Linked DNA regions of Daphnia pulex. The main gene of each other region encodes a partner of the protein of the gene in region 6 in a complex. Links are inferred from orthologs where the notes say so. Each region holds a gene or a part of one and is shown on either strand. Other genes may lie near its edges.

Region 1 (2,812 bases), on a different chromosome or scaffold from region 6:
ACCAAAGGAATTTGCTTCATTCGTACATCTCGCCCCAACACAGCCGTCATCTACGAGAACGAACAAGTTTTCTCTGCTGGAAAGGGTCACGTTGTTCGTAGTCACGATCAAGACGATTTGGTTATCGTTGGCGCCGGCGTTACACTCCACGAAGCGCTGAAGGCGTCCGACATGCTGATGGAAGCCGGCATCAAGGCTGCTGTCATCGATCCATTTACCATCAAACCCATTGATCACGATTTGCTGTTGAAGGAAGCCACTCGTTGCAACGGCCGGGTTTTGACCGTTGAAGACCATTACCCAGAAGGTGGATTGGGTGAGGCTGTTGCTTCAACTCTAGCCGAACAACGAAATATTATCGTCAAGATTTTGGCAGTTCGCGAAGTTCCCCGCTCCGGTCCTCCAGAGGTTCTCCTAGAACATTTTGGAATCGGCGCCAAGGCTATTGCCGAAGCCGCGAAAAAACTTGTTGCGTTGTAAACGCCCTTTTTTTAAGTCACTCATTCCTATACCCATTCCTTACCAGAGGTCTATGGATAGTTGAGAAGAATTGGTGGTGTTTTTTGAAACATTCTTCTATGGCATTCCAAGTCGTATATGTACCGTTTGGATAGTTTATTCATACATAGCTTTTTTGGTGTTTCAAATGATTTTTATTTGTTAGCATTATTATTCAAAAATAGAAAAAAGGGATGCATACAAAATGAACAATTATTAGGATGCTTCATCATCGTTAAGAAGTTGCTGTAATCCTTGGATAGTTGAAATGAGTAAGTGAAATTGTTTGCGTCTTTGTTCTAATTTGGCCTCCAGTTTTTGACATTCACATTCTGAAGCTTCCAGTTCCTGTCGCAATAGGGATAATTTCTCTTGGTTGCTCTTTCGATCAGGCTGTGTTTGAATAATGGCAGCCAAAGCATCATATTCCATTTTATTCCTGCGAATCTGTCTTGCTTCTTGCAACTCCTTCTTGGTTGCTTCAATGTCTTTTTTAGCTGACACAATTCCTTCTTCAATCTGGTTGTAGAGGTCGTCATAGTGCTGCTGTTCTGCAGTGTTCATTTCACAGCACCTCAAGGATTTTGTGGCAGCAAATTCACATTGGGCAATCTGACCAATCATTCTAGCGTAGGATGCTTGTCTGTAAAACAAATAAAAATACATCACATATAGAGTATAGAAGAATTTTATACAAAGATTAATTTACGTTTCTTCAACACTATCTGTAGAGTTGCACCAAGCTAGGAAACCTTTAAGCAATACATTAAGTCTTCTTTCATCACCAGTTCCTTCGCCATCAAACAACAGCCTCCTTCGGATGATCTCTTCTACATAACGAAGTACAAGATGAAAATTAACCGAAATAATATTACTAACAAGTCAAATTACCATCTCCCATTTGTGAATAATGATTGGGATCAAAATAAGACCAATAATAATACAATTTAACTGGTAAAGCTTTGAGAATATTGAGATGTCAAACCGGGCGAAAGAATGAGATGACAAACCTAGGAGAAATGTCGCTGCGGAAACGCCGGAAAGTACTGAAAAATGAAAAAATATTTTCGTCTGCCGTAAGCGTAGTTCGCTCGTCTTTTGTTTTGTTTTTTAAATCCGCCAGCAGACGACACGCCCCTCAAATGAAAGGAAGGAGACATGGCTTTTTAAAAAATCATCCGATTGATTAGGTATCTATTTTGTTTAGGGTTAAACTTGCATGCCTGTATAAACATTAGCAAAACCGAAAGAGAGCTAGTCCAGCAGATCAGCAATATACTTGGGAAACCATTGAACGGTTTAGAATCAATCAGGTGATGTCAAGGAAAGAATCCAATGAAATGCTGGATCTGGAGTGTTGTTTTTCTCGTTTCCAGATTAACGTCAATCTCTTCTTTTTAATTAAACTGTTGCCTTACATTCTAGGAAAACCTGTTTTTATTGTCCTGAAAATTGAGATTGGTGATCAAGATTGACAGATTCATTTTAAACAGGTGTGTAACTGACAGTGAAAAAATAATTTTGGGTGCAAGATACTTACAAACAACATTTATTTGTAAGTATAAAAGGTGCATGTCAATTAATGGTTGTATTTGTCAAGATGTCAGATGGTTGATTGGTTGGTAATATAAAATAACTGAGTTGAGAGAGATTTGGTACCTCAATGGGGAATTTTCACATATGTGTTTATCAGTTGATGTCATTATGATTATGTGCAGCTTGTTCTCATAGTCATACTTGTTGCAGTCCATGTGTGAAAATTGTAAAAAGATACTTAGCGCAAAGAAAAATGTACTTTTTGAGTTCCGCAATGCATAAAATCTTTTGCCAAAATTAAAAAAAAAATAGACGGACGATTGAGGATTTAAATTATTGCTAGAACGTTTCGCTAGAAGATAATTTCATCATTAAATCATCATAAAATTTCATAAATTGCCAACGAATAGAATCAACAACTTTAGTACGCTTACACATTAAGGTCTTCAAGTGGCAAAGAAACGCAACGCATTTTTTAATTCTAGGAAAAATATACAAGTACTATATTAAAGGTAATTTTGAAATAGTCCAATGGGTGTTAATGCCATAGAGTAATTAGAGGAGGCAAGGCATCAAGGGCAGTGGTAGCTGCCGAGCTGCTTTCACTATAGTTGCAACGCTGTTGCAGGTGAGGAAAGAAGACGGAGTCTCGGAGAGGAGAAATTAAGAAAAAATTTTCTGTTAACAAAGATGGCGTCCAACGATGACAGTCCAACAAGTCTTCATGGCCAGCCTTGGTCTGTTTGGGCTGATAGATTAGGCAGAGATAGTCCATTAA
Region 2 (3,857 bases), on a different chromosome or scaffold from region 6:
AAATAAACGAATGTTAAAACAACACTTAAACTCGATAAAAAATTTCAAGTCAAGCATATAACAAACAAGAAAGCCGTCAGCCAACGCCATTGAATGAGTGAAACTGGTGAAACAAATAAAAAGTACAGCGACTCGCACGCTCTTCATCTTACATAACCTGTTCCAAGAACAACTGAATTACCTGCTAGCTGTTTTTTAAGAAGTAATGCTGACTGCAATTCGGACATAATGAAATCAAAACGTAAATTTGTTGAGAGGAACTTGAGAAGTCTTCTCTCAAGTTGAGAAGTCTTTCCAAGCACGTTGCTTGCTTCGTCCTAGCCTTTGACGTTGCCAAATCTCCTTCCTTCCTCTAGAGCTCGCGCGTTGTTGGCCAATCAATTTAATCACGGCCAGGTCACGGACCAATCTCCGTCAATGCCGTCAATGCATGTTTTATAAATTTTAATTTTTTTTAAATTGCACTCCTAAAATAAACATTGATTCAATAAACCCAGAAATAAATTATCACGATGTATTTTCTTGTGAACATTACTCGATATAAAACATCACAATTTGACATTATTAATCTAAAGACATGGCAGATGTCTTTGTTTTTTTTTGTATAATAATTGATGGAAGGGCAAGCGAGATGAAAATGTTCAAATGACGATACATAATTCATGAAAGACAACGAATCACTTGATCTTGTAGTTTAGAACTGGTGCAAATGTCAATGTCTCCACCGGATCCGCCGACGAATAGCAACTAATATAACAATCCAAAGATTATATTTGTTTTTCATTTCATTATCATAATATTTTTTTACTTTATTTGCATCCTTTTTCTGGAGGCAAATACTGTAGACTCTAAGGGGACTTGTAGGCATTTTGACGGTAATATCTCCCGAAAATAAGCTAAAAATAATTGACCCAGCTCACACATTAGTGTCAAGGGGGAAATTTAAATTTTTAAAAATTACCATTGGTATACAAACGGTCCATCTACGCCGACGATTATATTGTCTTCGTGAAACATAACGTTGTTAACACCATGGACGTCTTCTTCGAGTAATACTCTACTCATTGTCAAAGATCGTAAATGATAAAGTCCTAAGTGCGGGCCTCCTCCACACACCTATGATATGCGACAAATAACAACTGTAGTGATTTCTCATCGATTAGATTACTTCCTTAAACAAGACTTACCAACCAATCTTCATTCATAGCAACAGCACCAACCCATTTTCCCAGATGGGGTCGATTCAGTTTAGACTCCAAATGTGGTGTAATTACGTGATTAGGTTTTGATTTTCGAGTATCCCAGATGCATACTGTTCCGTCTTCACTTGCACTTGATAGCTGATTCCCACTATCACACAATAAAAAGTAATTAATGTTTTTATGCAATAACTTGAATTGTAACTACATCTACATACACCAGGGACATTGAGTGAATGAAATCAGTATGACCAGAGAAGGTTTGTTTAACTTTCCCATATTCAAGATCTACATGATGAATATTGTTGTCTCCACAAGCAACAAAAGTTGAGTTTTCACCGTTAATCATGCAATCTACAGTTTCTTTAGTGCCAAAGTCACTATAAAATTACATAAAACCAACAGTTAATTATGATAAATGTAATAATCAGAATATTCTAATATGGTTACGTTGGCAAGCGAAGATCAACTTTCCAGCAAGGTTTCACCTTCTCATCACTATTCTGTGGAAGCACCAATTGATTCCAGCTAAATGCCTCAATACAGTTCTTGCCTCCAACGAGTAAGTTATCATTTAAAGATGTTATAGCTTGCAAAGGTTTGGTACTGACAGAAAAGCATTTCTGTGGTAATGTGAGGCTTTCACGTGGACCCTGTTCATCTTCGGCATACAAACTTTTGATACTAGGAAGAGATACATGTTAATAAAATTTTTTTTTTCAGTAATATTATTTTAAGAATAAATTCAATACTTAAATATGTTGACATTCCCAAAATTGGTTCCAGCAGCTAGAAATTCCTCACAAGGAGATAGGGCTTGAGAGAGGACAGTCACGTAAAACGATTTTATGTTAGGCATATTTTCGCACTTTAATCACTGCTTTAACAGTTTAGTTATTCGTGAAGTCGGAGAATTTGTAACTCAGTAAATTTAACTTTTAATTTGAAAATCAAAACAAGAATATACACCGGCAAAGTTTGATTTTTGTGGCGCTCTGGGTCTCCATGCGGAAGCGTCTGCTACGATATCTACTAATTTGCGGAAATCCGAGAAAGGTTTTTCAGTTTCAGCCATTACCCGGGAAATTCAACTGAGAAATAAGCCAAAAACAAATAGAAATGTGAACTACGACTTGGTTTCATTGGTTCGATGAAGATCTAAACCGATTTAAAGCGCTGTTGAATGATGTTTCAAAAATTTTAACTGTAGTTATTTAATGTGGTCAACTTCAGATTTGAAAAGACCAAAATAATAAGATCAAGGACACTCTCAGATATAATGAATATCATCAATGAGTTGTCATACACTGAACGCAACTTACTTATTCCCATTATTCCCTACACGTCACTTCCCTTGGGCCTTGAATCGAAACCGATATCCCTTCAGCTTTTTGTAGTTTAATCTTATTTGCTTAGATTAACTAGATCTGATTTCCCATGAAATCAGCTATTGGAATCAGACATGATACCGTATCTAGACTTGTGTGAAAACACTCCCCCAAATTTGTTATAGACTTGCCTTTTTGATTATTTTCGAGATGTTGACTTTGACACAGAACAACCAGACCAATTTTAAAAAAGTGAAATGTTTCAAATAAAAAAATATATAATAAAATGTGATAGCCAAGATACGTGTTTTGGTCACACCTGAGACGTAGCGGCGCAGCAGTGTGTTAAGTTTTCTTCAGGAAAACCTTGACTGCAGTTTATATCCCCCCGCGGATCGCATAATTTACGAGTTTATAAACTTGTGGAGTGATTACTGAATAACCTGTAATAATTCAGGCCGCCGTGAATACATAAGGCTGTTATTAACGGGATAAGCCGCCGGGAGCAAAATACAGCGCTAGGGCAACAGCACGTAGTGCATTCAGTAAACATCAGAGGGCCTGCAAGAAGAAATACCAGGAAAGGAAACCTGCTTTCCTCTCTGATAATAATATTGCTAGAATCCAAAAAATCTAATGGCCTTAGCCTACATTCGTTCGCTTGCCTTCTTGATGTGTGAACCACCCAACAGATCGGTCGCATCGCACTGCTATTCTCGTTCAGACTGGGCACTTATAAAGCGAAATCACAGTGGAACAACACGAACTGACGTAGTGGAACTATTAGGTCGAGTTAAAACCCAACAAACAGCCAACACCATGTTTTGACAATTGAAAGTGTCAAAACGATCAAAAAGTTTAACTCTTAACTCGAAAAGTTCCAGTTGAGCCGCGCAATCTAACATACGGATCTCGGGACTTTCTTTCTTTCTACTATTCCGAGAGGAAAATTTCTCTTTTCTCTCGGTCATGGACCTTACACAACTAAGCCCAGAGAAACGAAACTTATTCGACCAGGTATTTAAAATCGTCTTTTTTAATTGTAATAATAGACGAAGGTTAAATTTTCGCCAGTATTGAAATTTCGCCACGCTGAACGCGGATAGTGTATTAATCAAAGATAGAATGAGGTAACAATGTGAGTGGCAGAGAAAGCTGTGGCAAGCTTTTTAAATTCCAACCTGTTATGCTTTTTTTTTGTTTTAAACCCAGCGGGTTTTCGGAGCAAAAGGGCGAAGAAAACTTACAGTGCTTTATACACGTAGAAATCTGGGCCGTTATAAAAATGTTTCAATCTTTTATTAATTCCGTTTTTTTTTTCTCACCAACA
Region 3 (3,504 bases), on a different chromosome or scaffold from region 6:
CACGAGAAGCATTCCGAGTATTTCACGTTCTAGCTGCGGAGAACAATGAACATGAATCTACTCGAGCAAAACGATACATTCGTCTATGTGCCGCTTTGCTGCCTATATATGGGTGTGTGTGTTTAGTGTTTACCAACTACCGTTACGAAATATCAAACGACATTTTAGCCTTGTACATAATCAACGGCACGTATGATGTAACACAAACTATCAATCTATCTGTTTCTACGAAATATGCTTATTATCACGACAACTTAAATTAATTTGCCTTTAGTAATAGAATAAGGATAGGAATAAGTCTTACCTAGATGGACTGCTTGCATAAAAGCGTCGTATTTCTTTAAACGTTAACGCCCTGTTTTTTTCATTATTGACTAAAAATTTGTGCCGAACGGTCATCACCTTTTAACAAATATGGGATCTAGTAATAACGAAAATTATTATTGAGTAATTAATTATGTTTGAACGTTAAAAAAAAGGGAAAATGTGTCCTGGAACAATTCAGTTTTCTGGAAAAGATCTCTGATCTGAGATCCATTTTACTTGTATCTCTCTCAACACAGTTGAAGTTTGTAAGCTTGGCAAATAGTTCTTGACAAGAGTAAACAAGAAAATCTGCAAGTGAAAAAATAAAAAAAAAAAAGCTGGATTCTGTATAAAACACGAGACCTCCTAGTTTTGATTCGTATGGGCCCATCACTCGTTAGAGAGACCAAAGAGCTTCACAGTTCCGGCGTCTCTGTTTCCGTCGTCTTTATCGTCACAGGCGTAGGCCAGCAGGTGAGAGCGTGGATGCCAGGCGACTGTGAAGGTTGGCGTGTCAACTGGAATGCTGATAACGCGCTCGCCTGTACCTACGTGGCTGACGTCGATCAGCAAGTCCTCTGACCCGGACGCCAACATGGACCCATCGTGACTGAAACTCAATGTCCGAACTGGCCAATCCAACCTAAAGGGGAAACACCCAGTCAGTAATTGAATAACCTCAATAGAAAACGGCACGTTATTATTGGCATTAATGTTACTTGGAGAAAGTGCGCAAACAAGCAATTTCATCGGCATCCCACAGAGAGACTAGGGCGTCGGCCGACCCAGTGGCAAAGTACCGTCCAGTGGGGTCGAATTCGATGCAAATGCAGTTGGCGGGGTGAGCCTGTGTGACGTGAACGGTCGTAAGCTCTGGGTAACTAGATACAAGAGAATTGATAGCGTCATGCTAGATTGAAAGCAGGGGGAAGAAAATTCATCATTACTCTAATATGTGGATGCAGCCTTGCCCACTAGTCAAAAAGAAAAGATTGCTAGCCTTGTTCCATTCTATTTCGTTGACTTCAAACTTGAACGGATGTTCTATTTTAATCTTAAAATTCCTGGCATCAATAAAAGTAACAAGGTCTTCCTTATTTCCCACTGCAATGGAATTTCCATCAGGTGACCACGTGATGTTGATATTTTCTCCTGTCAAATCACATTAATGAAGGATTGAATGTTTAAGCATAATTTCGTAATTAATTGTACCCTTGGTGTTTACTGTGGCGACACTCTTTTTAACTCTTGCATCCCAAACTCTCATGGTTTTGTCTCCACTGGCGGTGCTGAGCAAATCAGGATTGGTTTCGTGCCAACATAGCTGATCGACACTGTCATTGTGTCCCACAAACGTTTGCTCCTTAACCTGAAACAGAATGCCTCAAGCTCCATTATAATTGCTGCATGATTGATAAGCCGGGACTAATACTAACCAGTCTGTCGCTTTCCATAGTAAAAATGCACACCGTCTTGTCAAAGGAACCCGACGCTAACCGTCTTCCATCGCAATTCCAATCAACCGTGTGAACCTTGGCCGAATGTGCAGAGACTTCCCTCGTTCGAGTGTGCGTTTTAAAATGATTTTTCAGCTCTTCCAATTCGGCGACTGCCATCTTCTTATAATTTCGGGAAAAAAAAGCGGTTTATATACCTTTACTCGCGTGTCAACAAAACACAGTGTGTGCAGACGAACTAACGCGAAGCCGGTCGTCCCGCCATTTCCAATGCCAAGTCTCTTCTTCATCCGCCAGATGGCAGTTGGAGCGCGAAATTTGAAATTCCTAACTCACTAATAAAAGAAAAAAGGGGTCGGGCAAGGAATGCGTGGTGGTAATGTCGTCTCCTCAATTGGCTCTGATTAGTCGGACGTTAAACGATACGTTTATCGACTGGCTGGCCCAAAATAACAAAAATAAAATAAAAAAGGCGTAGGGTGGGCGGATAGGTGGAAATGCTTTTGTTACCAAACACGGGACACACACCGTAATCAAGCGTGACTAGTACACACACACACACACACAATGAACTCAACAAGCGAAGGGCGTCCAGCCTCTATCAGACGAGATCTAGCTGCATGAATATTATACTCTCTCTCCCAAGTCCCAGCTACACATATAAACTATAGCTGTGGAGCTTGCGCCATTTTGAATGTTATTACACGTCCGATAAATATATATATATCTACACGGCAATAATATGCGCCAAAGCCAAAAGAACCGAGTCCAAATCAACTGGGATGGGCAGCAGCAGCAGCAGCTATGCCCGTTTCTTCAAAAACTACGACTATATAGATTTCAGTTTTCTTATATTTTGTTCTTTTTTTCTTTCTTTCACAGCGCGCAATCATCAAATGATCCGTGTTTGGGCATCGGGGTAATATAAAGCAACAAAAAGTCGTAGTCTCTCTCTGCCAGTGCATGCTGGACCCACAGCGCCGGCACACAGCACATAAGACATCTACAACAACTACAACCAGAACGGCTTCTATATAACGCTAACGACTAACGAGTTAGCATCGACTTTACAAGAATTTACAGCTGTATAGTCGATGGAAGAAGAGAGCGGGGGTAGTAAGGAGAAAAAAAAGGGAAATTTACGAGTCCCCCTCTTCTTCTTCTTCTAGGAGAGAAAAGAAAAAGAAGACGGCCATAAAATAAGCAAATTTCTTGCCCGTTAACTGACGATAAAAGCGACTGGGCGTCCAAGCGCGCCTTGTGGCCTGGCCTGGCCTGGGCTGCTGCTGATGCTCCTACTGGACCTCCTTTTTCTTTGGCTGCTCTCTCCATCATTACACACACCAAAAGAACTTCTTCTTCTTCTTCTTCTATTTTGATAGCCAATCGGTCCCGTGTGTGCGTAATAACATATCGCAGTCGTAAATCTGCGAACGTCTCGTTTCGTTTTGCCCAAAAAGATTCTTTTTCTCTCTCTTTCCCTGGACCTTTTGGCTGGTCACTGGACTCGTCTCGTTGGCCTATACCCAAAGAGTAGTAAAATAAAAATATATAAGAAATAAAGGAAAAAAAAGGGTTTTTTTTCCTTCTATTTTATTTAAAACTCTTCCTTCTCCCCTTCAAATGAAAACGTCTATAGGGTAATACGATTCCGATGATACGCTTTTTTGTTGCTGGTGTGCCTCGACACTTTATGGAGATTGGACCCGCTGGCCCGTTATATATATCCCGGTGATTTACA
Region 4 (3,632 bases), on a different chromosome or scaffold from region 6:
ATGTATCGATAAATATAGGATTTCAGAAACAACTCGATTGGATTCAGTCGTCTTTATTGACGGCCTGTGCAGCACGTTTGGGCATTTACTCCGACCACGAATTCCGTCATCCAATTACCTGTTTGAGCTTGAAATTGAATACGCCATGCCCGATAGTCCCTTGGACGGAAGCGGAAGCCTCCGCATTGAGTTCGAAACCCTTTCGCTTTTTTCTGCGTCAACTGGGTCTTTTCCCTTCGCTTCCTAACGCTGGCACCTATCCAAGGATCCCACTCGAATGGTCACCAGACACTCTGTACAATGTTGCTCTTTCGTTGGGTTCCGTTGCCCATCAGCAAGTTGATTTCGACTTGAGTTGTGTAGGAAAATTGTAGCTTATCCATTTAATTTAGCTTCGATCGGTCCCGCTTGATTACTGCTGGCCAATCATTAGAGTAATTTGTTGTAATTTTGTCTATGATCAGCGACGATTAAATGAAGGAACAAAAATCAAATTAGTGTTGAGGTTAATCATTTGTATTTTTTGGGATGAGTTTCTCTTTCTCGTTTCACAGGCACACCTTTTCACACTCAAGTCCTCGGATGAAATATGAATGAATTATAAAAAGATACATGTGCTAAGTGCGCCGTAACAGGAGGGAAAAGCAAGAAACACACGGCAAAAAGGGACTCCAAAAACTGGGGGAAAGTACAAGAACCATTTAATCAAGTGCTAGAATGAAATCAAGACAAGGTTGTCCAAAATCTCTTTTTTCTGTCTAGACTCTTCACAACAGTCCAACCATTTTCTCAAAGACAAATTCTGAATTGGATTCACTTTTAACTTTAAGGACTAAAACATTGTTAATAGTCAATCAAGACTTGGCGAAGGGGAGTTATTAGTAAGAAGGTTCTTTCGTTTGAAGTTGGGGAGCAGCACAGGTGAGGTAACGACTGGAGAAAGATTATTGCATATTTAATTCATTTCAACGTCCCCAATTTTAGACATGTAGGATTCAATATCATTGTCTAGAGCGCTACGAGTCTTTTGCATGTACTGATCCAATTGCTTGTCCAAATCTTCTTTGCTGACCTTGGTAGAGCCACCTCGACCACGCCCTCGACCACGTCCGGATGTCTGACCGCGCGGAGATGTCGGCAAGCTGCTTCCTCCACGACTGGGTCCCTTACCACCACGTTGGCCTCGTCCTCTTCCTCTTCCACGCTGGATACGACTTTCAGCTTGCCCGGTAATCAATGAAGATGTCATCTGCCCTCGACCACCTCGTCTTCCTCTCACGCTGCCTCTAGCACGCGAAGGTTTGGTCGGCGAACGATTGGTTGTGGCAGCAACGGGGGCTGGCTTTTTCGATGGAGAAATGATTCTTCCGCGAGTGCTTCTCTTGTTTCCTTGTCCACCGCCACGAACGATTGTTTGGCTGACAATGGGCTTCAGTCCGCCCCGGCCTCGAATTATCTTTGTTGGGGTGACCGTTTGCCCTTGCGTTCGACTTCCTCGCAGAGATCCTCGCGACTGACTCCCGCGACCAGCTCCACGATTGGTTGTGAGTCTCCTTTGAGTTTGGGTGGCCGTTCCGCGAAATCGAGTACTGGTGTTTACTGTGGCTCCAAGGCGTTGTTTGATGCTTTTCTGAATAACAGTATAAATGATGTAAGTATATCTGGTTATGAATTAAAAACGAGGAATTGCACCTTTTTCAGTTTCAAAGCAGCACTGACTGATGCATTTCGTCTTTCCATCTGTTGAGCTAGTCTGCTATTCTTGCTTGATGCCTTTTGAAGATTAGCTGCATTATTTCTAGCCCCTTGCAGTTTTCCAGCCAATTTCTGACCCCCTGCTGAGCTTCGTAATTTGGAGAATCTGTAACGAAAAATTTTCATGCGTTAAAAATCAGCAAATGAGAAGAAAATCAACACATACTTTATAAAAGCAAGGAAATTCAATGTTTAACAGGGGGAAAATTGCGGCAAACAACTATTTCAATCGCATATACGACATAACAAACCCAAATTGCCTAATGATTTATACCTTTCATGTAAGGATAAGGAAGTTGAATTATTTGGTACTCTGCCTCCTGAAGCCATTTTGTGCTAGAATACTGCTGAACCAAAGTTCAATTACGGTCAAGAAAATGCCGAAAACAGATAATTTCGAGCTATCTAGAAATGTTTCTCGTGAAGTCAATGAAAACAATTGCTGATGTTTGCCCGGCTGTGAACTAATGACGCTCAACTTTTTTCGACTGCTATTGGGTAGTAAAGTGACACCTAGCGGAAAAAAGAAAGTATGTCGTGATTTACGATTGAGTAAGAGTGCATGTTTTAAAAAATGTGGGTGGAGGAAATGTTTTATGGGTGTAGAATCATGTCAATAATTAAATATACTAGATAATACAGAAAGTGAAAGAATTGGAAATCTGTATTTATTTGAAATCAATGTATTCATTCTGTAAAACAAAATCAGATGACAAGCAGAAATGAATCTTTGTTTTTTTATCGTATGAGATGGTCAATAGTGTTTTATAAAAAGAAATTAGGCGGCCACTACTGTAGGAGTACTGCTTCCGTTTTCCTCAGCTTTAACTGCCGGAACGGCTTTCTCTGGATTGAATGTTGTCCAGCGAGCTTCATCTAGTGCATCCCACAAATCCTGATTGCGCTCAAAAAGTTCTCTGTTCAGTTTCTCAATATCGACGGGTGTATTGTGTTCTATGAGCTCAAACTCATCTTCTTCAGGTTGAGCAGGCATTTGCCCAGCAACGCCATATCCGGCATAAGCTTGTTGACCATCATAGCCGTATCCGCCTTGGTAACCATATCCTTGCCAGCCACCGTACTGTTGCCAATAGGCTGGATCGACGTACTGTCCGTAGCCAGCTGCTGCAGCAGCAGCTTGAGGTTGAACTGGCTGGCCGCTGGCTGCGGCCTGGACAATTGACGAAGCAATCGATGCAGTTAACGTAGAAGTAGAAGATGTACTGGATGAGGATCCTAAAAGTTAAAAGAGTATGAAATGAAATGTACTCCAAAGAAAAGTTTAAGCGTGCATTTACCAGGTATCATGTTGTAATTACGAGGAATAGCCAATGAAACTCTAAGTGGGTTGCTGCCGAGTCCTCTGTGACCTTGCATATGTGTCAGCGCATCTTTGTAATCACTTTCATTAGAAAAATTAACAAACGCATAGCCGCGACTTTCTCCATTGCTGCCTCTGACCACTAAACATAAAATACGAGAAGTTCAGATAATTGCCAATAAAATCATTACAGAAATTTTACAAATTACCCTTTGCCAATTGAACTGAGTTATATTTTGCAGAAAAACATTTGTAAAGGCCATAGTCATCTACATCAGCACTCAAATCTCCCACCCACAGTGCATGATCGGCTGTAGAACCTTTAGTGTTTGTGCTGTGATTTAACTTGAAACGGCTTGGCTAAAAGTGGGAAAACAGATAATATAACTAATATAAATTATGGTAAATTAAAAGTTAATACACTACCGGCTGACTGTATGGAATGATTTTGCCATTCAATTTGTGTAGAACTTCCATTGCTTGCTTTTCATCTCGAAACTGACAAAATCCAAAACCAGCAGGTAATCCAGTGTGCTTATTTCTCATGACTTTGATG
Region 5 (3,904 bases), on a different chromosome or scaffold from region 6:
TTTCCTTCGCCTAAGCGTAATCTTACCTCGACTCCATTTCGACACCAAACCCCTCAAACCCCTCAAACCTGGAACGCTCCATCTCAGTATCAAGCCCCTCAAAACTGGAACGCTCCATCTCAGCATCAAACGCCTCAAAACTGGAACGCTCCATCTCAGCATCAAACCCCTCAAAACTGGAACGCTCCATCTCAGCATCAAACCCCTCAAAACTGGAACGCTCCATCTCAGCGAAAAAGTGTTAAAAGGACTCAGGAATGGGACTTTTAAATCCCCCACCCCCTGATATTATGTAACAGTTTTTCAAATTTCTTCTGTTCATGTACTCAAAGATAACACTTCAGTAATACATTTCAGTTCAAGTTAAATATGGTTAAGATATTTGTACAACCAATATTTTTTAACATTGGAATGAAATAAATACAATAAATTTCCTTTTCCATTATTTGAATGTATTTGAACTAGTATTAATTATAGACCTCAATGAGGTTTAACAGCACTTGATGGATACTCTTCTCGCTGATGATACGACTCGTACATGTCATCAACGTAAAACCGTCTCTTTCTCCAGTATTTCGTTACCATTTTGTCAAGAAGAGTTGACTGGGTAGCATTACAAAATACATGCTTTTCACCCCGAATCTTCCTTTTTGCTGTTTTGCTCCAGTGACGTTTACTGTGTCCCACCATTGGCCTTATCCATGCACCCCTAAGAAAACATAATGAATATAAATAACCAGGAATGAATAAAATATATTACCATCCTAAACGATAGAACCTAGAAACAACAGCTTTAACTGTTTTGCGCTTCCCTTTTTTGAGTGACCATTTTGTAACTGATCGGGTTTGCTGCAAAGAGGGAGTAGTTCTGCAAGAAAGTAAGCTTAATTTGTGTGCTTAATAAAATTTAAATTCTTGCTTACAATGACAGATTTTGAAGCAATGGGGAAATAGATGATAATATACTTGGGGTAGCATTCATGGAAGGGTATTGGACACACCGAAAAGTTGATTCTGACGAACCCGAAAAAAACCTTGATGTGCTAGGCAGCAAAATTTTTGCTTTGACTGAAACGACATTTTTAGAAATTGGTGAATAATTCGCCAATCGAAAAGCCGATTGAATAACGTTTTTCAAAGTAAACATTTTAGATTTTTATTTTTCTTGAATCGGGAGAAAATTATTTTCAGTGTTCGTTCGTCTGCTTAATTGAATCTTTTCATGCACGATATCGATATACAAATTACAAAGGCCAGGTCTTTAAAAGGTTTTTAGCAACTTTCATTGATTTTTATTAAATTAAAAATTAAATTAGTTTCAAATTTTAGTGGATCATGAATCATTACTTTTAAGTTGTAAATTTTTGCTTTGAAACCATGAGTATGAAAATTTGGCAACACAGTTGACTCCATGTTGAAGCGATTTTAACGTCTGTAACATTCATTCTATAGCATCCTTTCACCCTTGCCGAACGGACGCAAACTAATTATTCACGAACTATCGTGCTTTTTCACACTTCTGATTTCTAAAAAAATGGAGTCTAAAGGCAGACGTGTTGTCCAACAGATGCCGGATGATTTAACTAATATTGAATTTGAAACGAGTGAAGATGTCAATGTTATTCCCACATTTGACAGCATGGGCCTCCGTGAAGACCTGCTAAGAGGAATTTACGCTTATGGTACGTACAAATGAGACTTTCACTTGTTGAGACCTTGCTCCATTATTCACATTATCCTTAACCTACATGATTTTTAATGTTGAGGTTGGCTTTAAATGTTTCTATAGGATTTGAAAAACCATCAGCTATTCAGCAGAGAGCAATTGCCCCAGTAATCAAGGGGAGAGACGTTATTGCCCAAGCCCAATCCGGTACTGGCAAAACAGCCACATTTTCAATTTCAATTCTTCAGAGTCTTGAAATTCAAACAAGAGAAACTCAAATATTGGTTCTAAGCCCCACTCGAGAGTTGGCAGTTCAAATTCAGAAAGTATGTTATGGCATTACTTTCTGTAGTACAGTGTTTTCATTTAGCTTGTGTTTAGGTTATTCTGGCTCTTGGTGATTACATGAATGTTCAATGCCATGCGTGTATCGGCGGCACTAATGTTGGAGAGGATGTTCGAAAATTGGACTACGGTCAGCACATTGTTTCTGGAACCCCTGGACGTGTATTTGGTATATTTTGCTATTTCTGTTTGTTAAGTTTGGATTGATGATAAGTGTCTTGATAACTCTACAGATATGATTCGCCGACGTACACTAAGGACACGTTCAATTAAAATGTTGGTCCTGGATGAAGCCGATGAAATGTTAAATAAAGGGTTCAAGGAGCAAATTTACGATGTCTACCGTTACCTTCCTCCAGCAACCCAAGTATGTTTTATGATATTTCATAAGAAAAACCAATTAAATCAATCTTTTATTCAAGGTGGTTCTTCTTTCAGCCACATTGCCTCATGAAATCTTGGAGATGACCAGCAAATTCATGACAGATCCCATTCGCATTTTAGTCAAACGGTAAACGTTGTTAAAAGTCTGCTTGTTTTTTATTACTAATTATTTTATGTGGTTTAGTGATGAGTTGACACTCGAAGGAATCAAACAGTTCTTTGTCGCTGTCGAAAGAGAAGAATGGAAGTTTGACACGTTGTGCGATCTGTACGACACACTGACAATCACGCAGGCGGTTATTTTTTGTAATACTAAACGCAAGGTTAGTCACGATTAAATCTCTTCTATTGTTGATTTCGATGTAACACAGTTAGATTGATTTTAGGTTGACTGGTTGACGGAGAAAATGCGTGAAGCGAATTTTACCGTTTCTTCAATGCACGGAGACATGCCTCAAAAAGAGCGTGATACTATTATGAAAGAATTCCGTAATGGTCAGAGGTATTGAAATTTTCGTCTACCATATAACCATTCAGAGTAATAACAATTATTCGTTTATTCTAGCCGAGTTCTTATTACAACTGACGTTTGGGCTCGTGGTATTGATGTTCAACAAGTTTCGTTGGTCATTAACTACGATCTCCCTAACAACCGTGAGTTGTACATCCATCGTATCGGTCGTTCTGGCCGATTCGGACGTAAAGGTGTTGCAATTAACTTTGTCAAGAATGACGATATCCGTATTCTCCGCGATATCGAACAGTACTATGCTACACAGGTTGACGAAATGCCCATGAATGGTAAAATATTTTTAGCATGTTTTTTTTTAACTCTTTCTAAATGTGTTTGTTTTTAATCAATTTCAGTGGCTGACCTCATTTAATCTATAATCCATTTCGGAAAAAGGAAAACAAAGAAGTTGATGCGTCATGTTTTTATTTTGCTGGATTTTTTTTTTCTGTATCCCCGAAGATTTGGACTAAATATATGAAACTTGTGGCCGTTTAATTAATTGTCTTGTTCCATTGTTGGAGTCTAAAAATGACGTCTACTTTACTCGTAGATCTGAAGTAATATATGAACCTTTTGCTCATGAGTTATGACTTATTGACTTATGAGTTATGACACAGTATTTATAATAAGGCATGTTGATTTTTTTTACTCACTTTGAAAATACTTGCGACAATTCGAAACCAGTATTTGAAGGACGTTCCAAATTCCAATTACAAAGTTAGATTTGTTGTATCTCTAGTAGCTGAACAAAAGCTAGAAACTAGCTGAAAACTTGGTTGCTGAAACCCAGTACCCCACATTTCCTTTTTTCTGTTTGAAAACAGTTTTGGTCTGCTACAGTTCGAAGCACCCGGTTGTTGCTTGTTGGTGGGTGATGAAATCATTTGTCACCTCGTCAACAATGTCTTTTTCAACTAATAATTTAATACGTTTTGGCTCCGGCACTTCTAATTTATTGAGAATACTTGGTAATAATCAAATAGGAGCTGGAAACG
Region 6 (3,130 bases):
ATTTTGTTTACATTTCGATTCTAATAATTTGTAACCACTGATAACTCACCAGGATTTCCTTTTTCTCGACAATAATAATTGGTCACATCCTCCTCTTCGATAGGAGAACTAGAAGCTGAACGTGGTAATTTTGCATCATCATTGGGCATAATAGTTACATAATTTAATTTCATGGCAGCATCTTCATAAGATGATGCAGGTGAAGTAGCATCCACATGATTGACTTGTAAATTCTTTAATATGATGAATCTGGAGGCAGCAGTAAATAATTCACCCTATTAAAATTAGATTATGATATTATTGGATCTGCATTAAAATGTGTGCTTAGATGTTATTTGTTTACCAATCCAGGTGGTCCATGGAGTGTGATATTGGGAACACCAACATCTTGAATTGTTAATGAAATTCCAGGTAATCCACCCACATTTTGCCAAGATGTACGGGTGAAGAAAATGTTCTCAACTTTGGACAGCTTAAACTTGTGCTCATGGGCCAAGCGTTGAGATCCTTCTCCGGAATTGAAGAGATAACTAAAAGCAAACAGGAATTAGACTAAAATACTTTTGCTTTAATTTAAAATGTTACCATGATTGATCGGTGAACATATAGAGGGACCGTGGTGCACCACGGACACCAGAACCCAGAACTTGTAATGTTACGGTTCCTGGTGGGTATTTTGTTTTAGTAATCTTCTTTGCCTGTCTTTCTGATTGAAGACGTGCGACATGACTCGTATCTTTCGGCATGTTGGCGAGTAAATTTAACACACGATTTTTATTTTTTATATCGCCGAATACCTTTTGATTAGAATGAAAACTACGTACAGTAACAACTACAACATTTAACAATGCAAATCGCAAATTCATTAGATATTTCTTGATAATCGGGATATTATGGGGCCTAATTAAAATTTACAGGCACTAACTTTTAACTTTAAACACGTGTTGTCATCTAGAGGGTTGAAAAGCAGAATCAAAACACCGGGCTTGGCAACCACGTCGGTTAAAAACTTAATTTGAAACTAAACTGTTTTTTATTTGTAAAATTGAATCAAATAAATTTAAATTTATTATTTGAAAAATAAATCACTTAGAATAAAAGGAGTATTAAATTATTTATGTTTCTTGTTTTTGAAACTGGCAAACGGGCAATATGGGCGCCATTGAGAGTTTGCTTAGGCTCATATTCGTTAACTTGGCATAGAGATTGAGCGTGGCGTCATTGTCGTACCGTCCCTGTCACCATCATCCATTTGTTTCGTTCTTATTGAATCTTTCTTAAACTTGTGTTTCGTTTTTAAATTGATAGTCCTTAATTTTGTCAAGTCCTCCACAAACTTATTGTTATCAAAATGGGCGACAAAGTTGACATGAGCTTGGATGATATCATCAAAACTAGCCGTTCAGCCGGCCGGGGCCGTGGAGGACGCGGCGGTCGTGGTGGCAGTTCTCGTGGAGGCAACCGTAATGCCGGCTCAGGACCCGTTCGTAATCAAAGACAGGGAAATGCTGGGGGTCGTGCTGCACCTTACGCCAAGGTAAATATTTGTTAAGTTATTCTTCTTGTTTTTTTATGTTCTATCAGAAAGTATTGCATAATCCTTGGTTGACTTGTTCGTCTATTTCAAATCCAAGCTAGTCTGTATCTTACAGTCTTCGTGATGCAATAGTGCTGACTCTTTGTGTATGTTATTTTTAGGGCAACCCAGATGGTGACTGGTCTCATGACATGTATGAAGGTGGACCAAGGAAAAGCAATCCCAGGTTGGGTGCTGCACCGAATGCTGCTGGAGGCGGCTCTTCCAAGCTTGTTGTTTCTAACTTAGACTTTGGTGTGTCAGATGCAGACATTAAGGTATAACATATATTGCTTCTCTGTCATGATGAACATGTATTGAATAATTCTATTTATAGGAACTTTTTATGGAATTTGGACCATTGAAACATGCTTCTGTGCATTATGACAGATCAGGCAGATCTCTCGGTACAGCTGATGTTGTGTTTGAGCGCCGTCTTGATGCCGTCAAGGTAAACTTCATGAAACTTGTCAACTGTAGGACACACAGCATCAATATTTGTTTCTTTTCCATAGGCAATGAAACAGTACAACGGAGTCCCATTGGATGGTCGATCAATGGTCATTCAGATGGCTACTTCCGATTTGAACACAATCGCCAACCGACTAACCAGCCCTCGAGCTAACACTAACAACGGGCCGCAACAAAAGAGGACTGGTGCACCAGCTTCCAACAGAGGCCAGAGAGGAGGAGGAGGAGGAGGCCAGCGTGGTCAGCGAGGTGGTGCTGGTGGTGCTCGCCAACGCAATCCCAAACAGCCTGCACCGACAGCAGATGAGCTTGATGCCGAGTTGGAGTCATACAGGAGTGAATTGAAATAACGCAATCGTGTAATGTTCACCAAATTATTTGATTTCTTTGAGTCCACACGTGGTGGATCAGAGGTTGAATCACTGACGCAAACTCCTGATCACCTTTACTTATTCTCCTCACCACCACCACTTTTTCAATAATGTTTTTTCTTTCGTTCTTTTCATACAAATTCAGTGTTTTGAAAGACAAACCTGTCAGACCTGGTTTTAAGACAAAAAAAAATGAAGCTTTCAGCGAAAAACCATTGTTTTTTTATTTGTGATTCCCGAGATGTGTAGAAGCCAAAAGATCTAGTAACGTCCAATTGTATCAAATTGAGTGTATTGGAAAAACTACAAATTTTTTTTTTAACAAAGTCATGTTTATAAAGATTGTGAAGTGCTTATTATGAGCTGCGAAGTGTACGGCGGATTGCTTGACGTAGTTGCTGAGCTACTGCAGCCTCGTTGATGCTGTCGATGATTGGAATTGAACTTCCACGGTAAGGAATTCGTGATGGTTGAGCGAAGGCTGCGGCTTCGCTGTTAAACTTGGTTGGTTTAGAGAATTGGAAACCTGTTTTCGTTACAAATGTTTTGTTACTATTAATTCATAACTATATTTAATTTAATCAGGTATTACTGTGGAGTAGAATTCCGGCTCGGGGGTGAAGTATGAGGTTCATTTCGGCGTTGACTTCTTCCACTGTTGTAATTTCATTAGATGTCTGACCCTGGGACAAATTGGACTCGTGCTGGTCTG
Region 7 (3,247 bases), on a different chromosome or scaffold from region 6:
CCGAATATCTAGTAAAATCGCGTAGAGAAAAAAATATTATAGCCTATTATTGCAGCATTTGAGTTGTAATATGCTTTTGTAGTACAGGGGACTTACTTACTGTTCCTGTCCCTCATGGTATAGGACCATGCTGTCTCTTTCCAGATTTCTAAAAAAGCGTCCTACACTACATAGTGAGGGTTTTGAACCCACACTTTATTAGTGGCGGGTTGCTTATTACCTTTGCACGATTATTTCCCTTCCAACTTGAATTTTCTACATTAACCTAAACCGCTACTCCCTTCGACTTGCCACTAGCCTAGAACTCCCTCACTAAATTTCATCTCTTTGTTTCATGCTGCTCTTTTCTTTATAAAATCAAGTGAAATTGCGCACCAACATATCAGGTTATTTCAATTACAAACTAGAAACAAAACAACTCCGCCGACCAACCTAACTCGGACCCATGAGAAAATGTGTTTCAAGTATACACCAAATTAGTATTTTTTTTTTTATCGGGATAAGAAATCAGGTCACATTTAATTTTAAAAAACTAAAAATTTTGTGATCGAACCAAGTCTTTGTTTCATTTAACTGTACGTCAATTAATAAACTTTAAAACGAACATTTCAGGCAAGTCCGAAACGTTCAGCACGTTTGCGCTTCTGTTCGTCAGAACTGCCGACCGCAGTGCTCGTAGTTCCGAATCTCTCTGCTCGCTTCTGTTTCTTCTCATCAACTTCGGAATTAGAATTAGAAACGACGCCAAAGCGAGCTTGCCTTTTCAGAAGTTTGTCATTATCAGGAACCTTAAATAAAAATTCACTACATGAAAACACGAAGAACGATGAGCTGATCAATCGAAAATACCTGAGGTTTTGATGTGTTTGATTCTGTGCTATTTGTACCGCCAAATCTTTCTGCTCGAACAGCTTTCTTCACAGAATCGGGAATAGGAACACCAAATTTCTGTGCTCTTAGTTTGGCTCTTTCTTCGGCAGATAAGGAACCAAGTTTAATCACCTTCTTTTCTTCCTTTGAGTCAGATTCATCACCTTTATTGGCATCATATTTAAGGTGGTCGTCATTTTCCTGTGAAACTGTGCCAGAATCTGATGGAGGAGTTACCACCTTTCTGTTCAAGATGATTTTTTTATGGGGAGAAACTATTTCATTCTTCGAGTCCTGAACAGTCCTGAAATATTATTCATTTCATCATTAATCTTGAGGCAATTATTTTCCAAACAAACAGAGTAACTAACTTTTCAACTGTAACTTTGGGGGCACTCAATGCAGTAGGTGTTAAAAGAACTGCATCATCTTCTTGGGCGATCAAATTTGCATTTCCTTCCTCTAAAATAGCTTCTTCATCCTATACCAAAAATAAAATTGCATAAGTTTATCACATTGTATAAAACCAATGTTCTTACTGCTAAAACTGCCTCCTCATCCAAAAGGTCATCATTGTCTAAGGCGCCATTATCTCCAGTATCGTCATCTTAACATCCACGGAAAAAAGCTTGAACATAAACATGGAAACAGTTTAATAATCAAAATGATAAAAGTTTACCTTGCACAGCATCTTGCAGTCTTTCCATCAATTCATTTTTAGTGCCAATGGTGCTGAGGCCTCGTGTTTTTAACTCTTTTTTAAGGTCCACAACCTAGCATGAAAACAACAGTCAAGATGAAATGCACACAGTAGGCCTATCACTAGTTCAAAAACATAATAGACATTTGATTTGACAAACTCAATCAGGATTCTAAGTTGGAAATATTGACAAGTTTCACTCAAATATAAAGTTAAGCGGGTTACTTTTAATTTAGAGATGTCCATGATTGTGATGATAATGATGACGTTTGTCTGTACCGGCGTCTCAAACTTTCAATGAATTACAATTGGAACGCGCAACGCGGTAACTTGAAAGTAATTCGACTTTTGAATGCCAGTGTATTGTTTCAGAGGAGAAATTGCGTATGCTTTTGCTGGCTTCTAAACTAGTGATCTCTATCGGGCGCATCCTGTACTAAAGTAGTGTCACCTATCGTCAATGCAAAAAGTTTGTCCGAGTCATGTTGCCATGTTAGTGTGTTACTAGCCAACAATGAGAAAGAAAACCCTCGAAAAAGTAATCAGCCACGTAGGATAACTCTGGTAGGATTTTGAAAAAAAATAGTGAGAAATTAATTTTAAGCGATGGGTTTCTCGGACAAAAAGGCTACGCATAAAACATTGCAACTACGTTATTTCTGTAATCGCAAATGATCAAACTCATTGTCAAAGTAATTTTTTTTTTTTAATTTAAAGAGCTTGATAAAAACTTCATAAAATATCTTGTGATAAACCAAGTAAAACTGATTGGCTTAACTAACTAGTGTGTGTATTGTAAATCAATGATTTTAAATTTCATCGTAACATCGTAGTGAATTTTGAATTTTTGATTCTTTTCCCGCTCAAAGAACAAGAAAGTGACAAAAAGTAACGTGTTTTAAGACAAGCAAACAGTTCAAGCTGCAATAGTTATATAATGAATGAGACAAATGCTCAAGCCGTGTATTTCGCTTTGACATGAAAATACGTGCGCGCAAAAAGCACTTTCACGACGACGCTCAGCTTCGGACAGTAGGCAATGTTTACGTAGCGAGCGACACATCTCAAAGGAAGAAAAAAACAATGGTCTTTTCGCGTCTTTTTCTTTCTTTTTTAACAAAAAAAAACAAAAAAACAAAAACAAACAACCAATTCGCAGAAACGTGGCTATATTCCGGCAAGGAGTAAAAGGTGGGTAAAAGGAGAACACCAATTGCTGTGGCAATATCCAACTTGTGCGAGGCAATCGATTTCTGTTTTTCTTTTTTCAAGGCACGCACAACTTAACTATATATATCATTTACTGCTGAGGACAATTATGGTTTTACACGTTTCCAATAAGGGATTGGGGGGGGGGGGTTAAACGGCACGACGGTAGTCGATTTGTCTGGTCCCGGGATACTGTTGTAATAAAGGATATACAGTGATGCCCAATGATTTTCTTATGTTTTTTCACTATTCTTGGGACCCAATTTTTAAGCCCATTCTGAAATGGCGTCAAATTTTCTCTTTTTAGCTTATCGGGAATTGTTTTTGTTTTTTCCCCGATAAATACACGTTACACGCAACACTACAGCGATCATCATTCATCAACTTGTAAGCGATTGGTATACAAGCACTTGAAAATACATACACGAATATATCAAATCAGAGAGGCGCGCGTGGCGGCCTATTTCT

What was found.
Region 1: THO complex subunit 4-like (region 6) and THO complex subunit 7 homolog share a complex: the UniProt entries of both Homo sapiens proteins name them as parts of the transcription/export (TREX) complex. The link is inferred for Daphnia pulex from reciprocal best matches to the Homo sapiens genes ALYREF and THOC7.
Region 2: THO complex subunit 4-like (region 6) and THO complex subunit 6 homolog share a complex: the UniProt entries of both Homo sapiens proteins name them as parts of the transcription/export (TREX) complex. The link is inferred for Daphnia pulex from reciprocal best matches to the Homo sapiens genes ALYREF and THOC6.
Region 3: THO complex subunit 4-like (region 6) and THO complex subunit 3-like share a complex: the UniProt entries of both Homo sapiens proteins name them as parts of the transcription/export (TREX) complex. The link is inferred for Daphnia pulex from reciprocal best matches to the Homo sapiens genes ALYREF and THOC3.
Region 4: THO complex subunit 4-like (region 6) and chromatin target of PRMT1 protein-like share a complex: the UniProt entries of both Homo sapiens proteins name them as parts of the transcription/export (TREX) complex. The link is inferred for Daphnia pulex from reciprocal best matches to the Homo sapiens genes ALYREF and CHTOP.
Region 5: THO complex subunit 4-like (region 6) and eukaryotic initiation factor 4A-III share a complex: the UniProt entries of both Homo sapiens proteins name them as parts of the ALYREF/THOC4-EJC-RNA complex. The link is inferred for Daphnia pulex from reciprocal best matches to the Homo sapiens genes ALYREF and EIF4A3.
Region 7: THO complex subunit 4-like (region 6) and SAP domain-containing ribonucleoprotein-like share a complex: the UniProt entries of both Homo sapiens proteins name them as parts of the transcription/export (TREX) complex. The link is inferred for Daphnia pulex from reciprocal best matches to the Homo sapiens genes ALYREF and SARNP.

Annotation. Positions count from the first base shown.
Region 1 is NC_060023.1:12,053,787-12,056,598, forward strand, and holds THO complex subunit 7 homolog, read right to left. Parts: upstream 1,547-2,812; 5' UTR 1,400-1,546; coding exon 1,390-1,399; intron 1,329-1,389; coding exon 1,208-1,328; intron 1,142-1,207; coding exon 715-1,141; 3' UTR 501-714; downstream 1-500. Other genes in the region: transketolase-like, read left to right, coding at 1-480; ataxin-7-like protein 1, read left to right, coding at 2,725-2,812. UniProt on the Homo sapiens protein: Component of the THO subcomplex of the TREX complex which is thought to couple mRNA transcription, processing and nuclear export, and which specifically associates with spliced mRNA and not with unspliced pre-mRNA.
Region 2 is NC_060027.1:616,707-620,563, reverse strand, and holds THO complex subunit 6 homolog, read right to left. Parts: upstream 2,435-3,857; 5' UTR 2,059-2,434; coding exon 1,952-2,058; intron 1,884-1,951; coding exon 1,650-1,883; intron 1,580-1,649; coding exon 1,418-1,579; intron 1,351-1,417; coding exon 1,188-1,350; intron 1,117-1,187; coding exon 962-1,116; intron 897-961; coding exon 809-896; intron 748-808; coding exon 661-747; 3' UTR 501-660; downstream 1-500. Other genes in the region: ubiquitin-conjugating enzyme E2 G1-like, read right to left, coding at 182-227; SEC14-like protein 2, read left to right, coding at 3,497-3,544. UniProt on the Homo sapiens protein: Component of the THO subcomplex of the TREX complex which is thought to couple mRNA transcription, processing and nuclear export, and which specifically associates with spliced mRNA and not with unspliced pre-mRNA.
Region 3 is NC_060028.1:7,657,440-7,660,943, forward strand, and holds THO complex subunit 3-like, read right to left. Parts: upstream 2,377-3,504; 5' UTR 1,923-2,376; coding exon 1,743-1,922; intron 1,676-1,742; coding exon 1,519-1,675; intron 1,459-1,518; coding exon 1,254-1,458; intron 1,188-1,253; coding exon 1,026-1,187; intron 950-1,025; coding exon 697-949; 3' UTR 501-696; downstream 1-500. UniProt on the Homo sapiens protein: Component of the THO subcomplex of the TREX complex which is thought to couple mRNA transcription, processing and nuclear export, and which specifically associates with spliced mRNA and not with unspliced pre-mRNA.
Region 4 is NC_060027.1:3,847,523-3,851,154, forward strand, and holds chromatin target of PRMT1 protein-like, read right to left. Parts: upstream 2,242-3,632; 5' UTR 2,086-2,241; coding exon 2,030-2,085; intron 1,862-2,029; coding exon 1,693-1,861; intron 1,631-1,692; coding exon 956-1,630; 3' UTR 501-955; downstream 1-500. Other genes in the region: protein timeless-like, read left to right, coding at 19-374; tRNA selenocysteine 1-associated protein 1-like, read right to left, coding at 2,534-2,991, 3,054-3,218, 3,286-3,436, 3,503-3,632. UniProt on the Homo sapiens protein: Plays an important role in the ligand-dependent activation of estrogen receptor target genes. May play a role in the silencing of fetal globin genes.
Region 5 is NC_060018.1:3,384,302-3,388,205, reverse strand, and holds eukaryotic initiation factor 4A-III, read left to right. Parts: upstream 1-1,404; 5' UTR 1,405-1,534; coding exon 1,535-1,682; intron 1,683-1,789; coding exon 1,790-1,992; intron 1,993-2,047; coding exon 2,048-2,180; intron 2,181-2,244; coding exon 2,245-2,378; intron 2,379-2,433; coding exon 2,434-2,522; intron 2,523-2,579; coding exon 2,580-2,718; intron 2,719-2,781; coding exon 2,782-2,897; intron 2,898-2,960; coding exon 2,961-3,196; intron 3,197-3,262; coding exon 3,263-3,279; 3' UTR 3,280-3,404; downstream 3,405-3,904. Other genes in the region: uncharacterized protein LOC124188409, read left to right, coding at 1-270; 39S ribosomal protein L35, mitochondrial-like, read right to left, coding at 481-709, 761-868, 924-1,147; ATP synthase mitochondrial F1 complex assembly factor 2-like, read left to right, coding at 3,784-3,904. UniProt on the Homo sapiens protein: ATP-dependent RNA helicase. Involved in pre-mRNA splicing as component of the spliceosome. Core component of the splicing-dependent multiprotein exon junction complex (EJC) deposited at splice junctions on mRNAs.
Region 6 is NC_060025.1:2,695,818-2,698,947, reverse strand, and holds THO complex subunit 4-like, read left to right. Parts: upstream 1-1,143; 5' UTR 1,144-1,351; coding exon 1,352-1,537; intron 1,538-1,698; coding exon 1,699-1,854; intron 1,855-1,913; coding exon 1,914-2,027; intron 2,028-2,091; coding exon 2,092-2,397; 3' UTR 2,398-2,630; downstream 2,631-3,130. Other genes in the region: ribonuclease Z, mitochondrial-like, read right to left, coding at 50-275, 344-530, 586-866; uncharacterized protein LOC124203100, read right to left, coding at 2,775-2,944, 3,011-3,130. UniProt on the Homo sapiens protein: Functions as an mRNA export adapter; component of the transcription/export (TREX) complex which is thought to couple mRNA transcription, processing and nuclear export, and specifically associates with spliced mRNA and not with unspliced pre-mRNA.
Region 7 is NC_060024.1:915,590-918,836, forward strand, and holds SAP domain-containing ribonucleoprotein-like, read right to left. Parts: upstream 1,954-3,247; 5' UTR 1,817-1,953; coding exon 1,796-1,816; intron 1,644-1,795; coding exon 1,550-1,643; intron 1,478-1,549; coding exon 1,410-1,477; intron 1,352-1,409; coding exon 1,242-1,351; intron 1,175-1,241; coding exon 850-1,174; intron 789-849; coding exon 609-788; 3' UTR 501-608; downstream 1-500. UniProt on the Homo sapiens protein: Binds both single-stranded and double-stranded DNA with higher affinity for the single-stranded form. Specifically binds to scaffold/matrix attachment region DNA. Also binds single-stranded RNA. Enhances RNA unwinding activity of DDX39A.